Coturnix japonica: one gene and its partner. The protein of the gene in region 2 binds, or shares a complex with, the protein of the main gene of each other region. Links are inferred from orthologs where the notes say so. Each region holds a gene or a part of one and is shown on either strand. Other genes may lie near its edges.

Region 1 (4,182 bases), on a different chromosome or scaffold from region 2:
AAAACCTTCATTTCCCTTTTTTAACAACCATACCATTCCAAATTAAGAAAGAGTCCTTTTTAAAAGCAAGGACATATTTCAGCTTTTACAGATCAGGTGACAATTCACCAATGTTCAGAAACAGGAAAAGTACAGTAGATAGCAGGAAAGCAAAATAACTTATCTGTCTTACGTGTAACAGAGGCTAAATATACACATGCACATGTTAAGTGAAAACCTGAATGATACTCTGAAGAATAAACTTCAGAGAACTCTTCAGAACACAGTGACAACATTACAGTTGCCCTAACTCAGAACTAGCAATTAGTAAGAAGAACAAAAGATCAGATAGTTCTCACAACAACAGTCTGAATACCCATGATTGCATGCATTTAGGAAGAGTGTAAGGATCAATCCTTCAGTCCTTCTGGGCAGCTTGGTCTAGCAGTTGGCAACCCTACACATAGCAGGGGGGCTGAAACTAGATGATCACTGTGATCCTTTTCAACCCAGGCAATCCTATGATTCTATGATTCAAGAGAGGATAAAATGACACAAGAACTATATAGATGGTTACAACTCTCTCTGATGACAGAATAACTCACCCTGGTTTCCACTTCACGTTTAATGAGAAAAGGTGTTGAAGAGCAGCGCCAAAGGAGCAAAGGTAAGAAGAGAGTTAGTTTTTAATCAACTCACAACAGTGACATTCTCTCTACTTTTTCATTTCATTATTCCCCTTATTTCCATTCCCACGTTTATTTACTGGCAACTGTACACAAAAGGGTTAAGTGTACAAAGCAATCATCCAGACTCAACACTGTCCGTGACTGTGCAGTTTCTTGATTGGCCAGCTATAGATCAGATTAAAAGCGATAATCACCTGGTTAATTAAAACTTGCCTGACATGTAACAAACTAACAGAAGTTATGAAACATTACAACATACACATTACTAAAAATACACCTTTATATGTTGCCAATCATGAACATCACATTTGCCCTAAGGTACTTTGAAGGAATTCTGACATATCATGCCATAAAAATCCGTAGAATTGCTTTTCCTTCCACACTGCTCATTAAAATGCTGGAAAAAAGAAAAAAGCCCAGATTTCTCTGGATGCAGTCGGACTCGATGATCTATAAGGTCTTTCCCAGCCTAAGCAATTCTATGATTCCATATTATGTCAAACTGATAAACACCTGTGTCTCCATTTGATAACACCTAGCTTGATTTCAAAAATCCCTGTCCTGAAGGATTTGTGATTTAAACGTACCAAAGAATGTAGCAAAACAACAGCAACAAAGAGTTAAGGAAGAAGAAAGTGAAAAGAGAAACATCAGTAAAACTGATACAGATGCTAATAAAACTGAAGTTGATGTTTGTCTAAGACTTTAAAAGGTTTAATCTTCCTGAATATTAAAAGTGAGGTAAACTTCAATTAAAAATGAGTCAATTTCTCAGCCTCTAAAAACGTTAAATGCTTTATAATTCTTGTGAGGGATTCTAGAACAACAAAGCAGCAAGAAAAGCAAATGTTTAAAAAGCTACTGTGACTGTGCAGATACTCAAACTCATTTTCTTTCATTTCATTTCCTTTAAAAACACAGCAGTAGAGAACCACAATCAATCCTGTGGAACGAACTGATCTTACCTTGGCACTGGGGGGAGGGCACGTGGAGGGCGCTGAAACATAACGGAGAGACAGAAGTCAGCTTCTGACAGTGCAAAATCATCCCGAGGTCTGTTAAACCACTCCACAGAGAACAGCTGCTTTCAGAGGCAATAATAACTCACACTATCTATGTTATGCTTCTGAAACCAGGTTCTCATACACAACCAAATACATAAAGAGTAAGAAACACATATCTCCTATTGTCAATCTGAAATGCAGTTCTTGCACTGGATGATTTTGTATTATATAATAATACATAAGAAGTATAGCATTAAACATTTCCTACATTACAAGAACTCAGTTGATACCAACAACACAAAAGCCTGCCTGACCAGTAAAGCTCAAGGGCCCCCAACTTACCACTTGTTTTTTCCCCATATCATTGGAAGCAGTTCCCTGGAAGAGGCACTGTGAACAGTTCTCCACTCCTGACGTCGCTCACGCTGAACCTCTGCTAATTCTGAACTAAAAATAAGCTTCTGGCTGCCCGGATTAGCTGGCTGTAAACCTCCCTGCCCCTGGGCCAGTGCCCAGCACTATTCCTGCTAGAATCAATGGTGGTTTGCTCTGGCAGCAAAGCTTGTCCTAAATGGCACCTGCCCCAAACCCCATTGCTCTATGTGCTGGTAAAGGTTCAGGTGAGCTCTGCTCGGGGATTTTCACCTGCTAAGTGAGACTCGCCGCACGAGGAAGCTTAAAGCGAAGTTTAGCTCGGGGCTCATTATTGCCTTCATCATCGTTTGAGCGATAACTATCGTTAATTATCTAGGATATGGCAGAGATCTCCAGCCCTCAGCTGCAGCTGCCCATGGCCCGGAGGAGCACACCGCAGGCCACAGCAAGGGGGCGGCTGCACGAGATGGCCATTTGGAGACTCCATCCCCCGGTGCCGTTCGGTGAGCAGGGCCACGGGAACCCTCCGACGAGACACACCCACGGCCGCCCCAGCGGCACAACGGGGGCCGGCTCTTCAAACTCGAAGCCCCCCACCCACCGCCGCACCGAACCGCCGCCAACGCCCACAGCGCGGCCTAGGCCGGGGAAGGCTTTAGGCCCGGCCCCCCCCCCGCCCTTCTGGGAGCCCCGCCGCCCTCACCCGCTCGGGTCCCGCCCGCGGCTCCGCCATGCCGCCCCCGCCGCCGTCCCGAGCCCCGCAGGGAGGAGCCGCCGCTCGCTTCCGCCCCGCCCCGCCGCTACGGCCGCGCTCCTCGGCGGCACAGCCGGTATCCTCAGTGCGGCGACGGGGAAAGCGAGGCCTTGAACAGACCGGGATTCCGGCTTCGTTCGCCTCGTTATGAGTGACACTATTTGCAAATGAAGTGACAAGCTCTAAGTTAAAAGAAAATCAAACTGCAAAGGGAACGAACACCCGATGCTGTGCTTTTCTGGCAGCTGCTTTTCAATGTACATCCCGCTGCTGCGAGGGGCAAAGTACCAGCTCATGCACCAGCCCGGCTCCCGCTGCTTGTACTCACCCCATTCCAGGGCCATGCAGGGCTCTGCTTTCCAGTGTGTTTCCTGCCAAGGACCCCGCTCTGACTTCACTATAAGCTGGCACAGTGCTAGCTGCAAGAGCAGGCTTACTACATGAATAACTTCTTTATAGGCAGCGCAACCTCCTCCAGTAGATTTTCTCCAGGAGGAACCAGGCCGACAGGATAAGTTGTTTCCTCTGAGTCCAATAAACCTGTAATGTGAGATGAAGAGAGTGAGGAATTTGTTAGCCATAGTCACTGTACTCTTTGGTGAAGAGAACGTGCTGCCTTGACTCAAACCAATAAGAAAAGGGGCTTTGGATATGATTTTCCTCTATAATAAATCCATATTTTGTCAGTTTTCAGTCACTTGAGTTGATGGAATAAAAGCCAAGCCCTGCTAAAATACTGTGGCAGCCCAAGTGACCTCAGGTGTGCACCCACTGCTCACAACAACCACATATCGGTGTGCAATCAGCACTGCCTGGGCTGGTGTGGGACATGGAGGATGCAGTGCAGCACTAACTCAACTTAAAAACAAAACCAAAAAAACAACCAAACAAACAAAAAAACCAAACAAAGAATCATGAATGTTTTGGTATGTTTATGACTGCATTTTCAGTTGACACAAATGTATAACCTGTGAATTTCCAACAGCTGCAATCAGGCATTCACTCCAAAGAATAGTTTGGTCATCATATCTCTTTACCAGGCTTTTTTAAGCCCTCTCTTACCACATGCTGAGCTTCACAAAAACAAGAACACATCCCATTGGTTTGAGGTTTTCGTTACTCTTTAAAAAAAAAATAAAAATGTTTTAATAAAAACACTGGAACATTTGATTTCTTATACAGTAACTGTACTGCATATGTTATGAAGGCTGCTCTGAAAGTAACACCTGCTATTTCATTGTGCTGGCCCACAATGTCAGAAGCAGATGGTGGTGGTATGGCAGTGGAGGTGATGGAGGTGAACCTTCCTACCAGTATTCCGTTCCCTGTTGTTGCCGTGTGACAGGGAGCAGCAGAGGCAGTCTGACAAACTGGCATCTGA
Region 2 (3,532 bases):
CACTCAGCCCTGTGTGATATTTTTCTTCCTATCACTGTGGGTCTGCAGGTAGCCCCAGTCCTGTGAACGTGAGACAGGAACAAAAATAGGGGAATAAAAAAGGCTGAGAAAAGAAGAAGAAAGTGAGTAAAAACTGTGTAAACATATGCTTCCCCAGGAAGCAATGCAGTGTATTGCTGAGCTCAAGCAATGAGTTGCAGCTCAGATGAAGAGCTTAACAGTTCAAAGTTCAGCTGCTGTGCAAATGTCACAATCTGTTCTCATCTGCAACATCCAGCCCAGCTCTTCTATGAACTAAAGAGAAGATGTATTTTCAGTTGTATTCCCAAAGTCCTTCTGCTCATCCTTGCAGTCAGAAGAGCCAGAAATTCCACAGATAAAAAGAAATACAGAACAGAACCCTCTTCTCCAGTCTGGCCTCTGTCACACATAATTTCCTTGCTTTGGTTTCCATGCGATGAAGACCCCTCCCTTTCTCTAGGAATGAATCAGTTTTAAATCTCAGGTGGTCAGATTCATTTTACTGAAAACTGACCTAAAGCTTCAAATGCTGATGGTAACTATCAGTAAGTTCACTACTCAGTTAATTAAATCTCAAACAACATTCATGCCCTGACCTTCAACATAACCCTCTTCTTTAAGAAGAAAAGTAAATCTATCAAGTCAAGTAGACTTGAAAATTTTCTCATTGCCTACAATTCAATATTCAAAAAGCTCACGTGTCTCATGTCAGTATTTTAGTCAGCTCAGCAGAAACATGAACAACTGGCTCTAACATCAAGGCCTGGTAACAAAATGCCTTCAAACAGCGCACCTGTGGAAACGATTCTCAGTATGGATGTGCTATAGAGAGACATAGGGCAGCATCTCTGCCCCTGTCTGCAAAGGAAGGGCCTCAAAGAGCTTCAGGGCACTGGGAGCTTCTGTCAGAGAGATGTGGGCTGCCCCCAGGCCAGAGGCAGTGAGGCTGTCGGTCTGTCAGTCTGTCAGTCAGGGTTCTTCCACACACTGGAGGCAGAAGTGCTGATGAGGTCCTGGGGAAGGCTCTCACGGGCCTCCTGCATCCGCCGCCGAGCCCGATGGAAAGCCTCTGCAACACAGCAGGTGACAGCAAGTCAGAACACATCAGACAGCCGCAGGGAACGGGAAGGACAAGTCTGTCCAGTGCACATCACCTCTCAGAACAGGGGTCTCACTAAGTACCACCTGACTGCTGCTGCTCTTTGCTCTGCGCATAATGGATCAGAGACTGACTCTGCACACCGCAGCCACAAGTTATGTTCAGTGCAAGACTGGGCAGCCCAGCCCAGGCTTTGCCCTCATGGACCGAGTATCCCTTCTGACTGCTCAGGGCTGATGCCTCCTCAAATTTCCAGCAATGTCAGGTCAGAACATTTAACTTCTGTTTTAACTCAGAGAGAGCTCACAGTGGGGGATAATTCCACTTCAAGCAATGGATTCTCCTGAAATACCCTGACCAACCTGTAAACAGGAGGTAAAAGTGAGACAAAGGTCCTCCTCGAAGAAGGAGACTGAAGGTCCTACCCAGAACATTGTAGACAGAGCTCTGCTGGCTGAGGCCTCCAAGCCGGTCCAGAACGCTCTGCATGCGATGCCTCAGGGCATTAGTTTCCAGAAAGGCTCTGCACAGAAGTACAGCTCGAGGTCAGGGCTGGAAGAACACAGCACACAACACAGAGCTTGTGCTCACTTTGCTGCACTCACTTGGATTGCTGCAGGCAGTAAAGCCGGAACGTGACATTCCCTGTTGTCTTTGTGCGAAAACCAAAGCGGCTCAGATGCTTTCCCTGCAAAAACAGCACAAGTTAGAGTACCTACAGCCTCTAACCTATTACAGCAGGCTGACCCCAACGAGTGTGCCCCACCAGGACAAGCACTCCCGCAGGCACAGAATCACTCCTTGCACTGCTTCAAACAGAAACTGACGTCAGAGAGACAAGCAGACAGTTCCAGGCTGTGCTGAGGGCAGGACCTGACCACTGGGAAGATACAGTGCTGGGGGAAGGGTTCCATCTTGAGCCCTTTGTTCAGTCTGGGTGCCACAATAGGAGAAAAACATCAGCTTATTAAACAGATTCCAAAGGACAGCAACAAAGATGGTGAGAGGTCTTCTCTAAGAGGCTTGTTGGGCCTCCCAGGGGAGCCACTGGAACATCAAAGCAGCTGAAGTTAGAGAAGTGTTTGGACACAGAACATGCACTTTAGCTGTGGGTAGTCCTGTGTAGAGCAGGGAGCTGGAACTGATAATCCTTTGGGCTCCTTCAAACTTGGGATAATTTATGATTCTTTGATTCTAAGAGCATAATCCACCATTTCCCAGCAAGAGCAACATCCCACAGCTAAGCCTACCTTGAAGGTTGTTGGTATCCTGGCATAGGTCACGTCCTCCAGCTCAGGAGACCCACCGATGAAAAATCTCCTCATCTCAGCAACTGTACCCAGCTCTACAGGGCGCCAGGTCGGGATGGTGAGCACGTGGAGACCTGAGCCAAGACAACAGAACAGTTCAGCAGTACTGTCCGACAGTCATAGAGGACATCATGGTGGACGGATACCTACTGATGAATACCCACTGATTCCCAGGTTTTTCCAATGAGCCCCAGCCACACAGCCAGCACTGACACCATCCCCTTTACTATGTGATGATGTTAGACTAGTTGTGAGCCTGGGATTACATACACAACAGAAAGGGCCTACTGCTATTGTAAAGATGGACATGCAGAGCTTTATCACATACAGTTCTCCAGCAGAACCACTGGAAGAACAAGTACAGCAAAACACAATGCTTCTCATCATGGCAGAAGGTGCAGACACATCACATCACTCTGCTGCTTCACAGACAGCAAACTATTCATTTCAAAATGACACGGTGAAGCCTCCCAGAATTAGGTGCAGCTGTTCCAAAGAGAACCACTCAACTCCTATTTCCCTACACACTTAACATACTGCCCCAAAGATGTTTGGTTTTTTACCTGGAGATGTTGGCAGCACAACAGAACCATAACCTTCGACACGATACCTCTGCCAGAAATCCAGGGACAGAACCTCGAAGTAGAGAACGGGCCAATGCAGGAGGCATTCTGCAAGGAAAGGGAGCAGATCAGTTTTTTGAATGGTGAAGAGGGAGACCAACACAGAGAGAAAAACTTCCTCAACACTTCAATCCCACTAGCAAGGAGTCCTTTCTCTGCTTCTCCCAAAATGACAAACCTATTTCTATGTGGGGTATGCATGACTATTTTTCTGTGTAAAAGATGAAGCATCAGACTTGAGGATGAAAACACAGGGCTAAAAAGTTAAAGAACTGAAAAAACCTTTGTTTTGGTGAGTCTCTGAGAATCGTCAAAGTGATTCCTCAGTTGTCTTTGGGCAGTTGTGACAATCTGCAAACAACTGACGCAGCACAGAGGAGCCTTTTTATCTCTGATCTTTCTCATCACTGTTGGGGACTATTAACTTAGATTGTCCCACAGGCCTCCAAGCATTTATTTTCTCCATGGTGAAACAAACT

Evidence for each region.
Region 1: MKS1 (region 2) and TMEM237 share a complex: the UniProt entries of both Homo sapiens proteins name them as parts of the tectonic-like complex. The link is inferred for Coturnix japonica from reciprocal best matches to the Homo sapiens genes MKS1 and TMEM237.

What each region holds. Positions count from the first base shown.
Region 1 is NC_029522.1:9,998,877-10,003,058, forward strand, and holds the start of TMEM237 (transmembrane protein 237), read right to left. Parts: upstream 2,824-4,182; 5' UTR 2,781-2,823; coding exon 2,751-2,780; intron 2,683-2,750; exon of another isoform or gene 2,033-2,682; coding exon of another isoform or gene 2,015-2,032; intron 1,666-2,014; coding exon 1,634-1,665; intron 596-1,633; coding exon 585-595; intron 1-584. UniProt on the Homo sapiens protein: Component of the transition zone in primary cilia. Required for ciliogenesis.
Region 2 is NC_029534.1:112,297-115,828, forward strand, and holds the end of MKS1 (Meckel syndrome type 1 protein), read right to left. Parts: intron 3,102-3,532; coding exon 2,994-3,101; intron 2,505-2,993; coding exon 2,371-2,504; intron 1,809-2,370; coding exon 1,726-1,808; intron 1,644-1,725; coding exon 1,546-1,643; intron 1,091-1,545; coding exon 987-1,090; 3' UTR 502-986; downstream 1-501. UniProt on the Homo sapiens protein: Component of the tectonic-like complex, a complex localized at the transition zone of primary cilia and acting as a barrier that prevents diffusion of transmembrane proteins between the cilia and plasma membranes.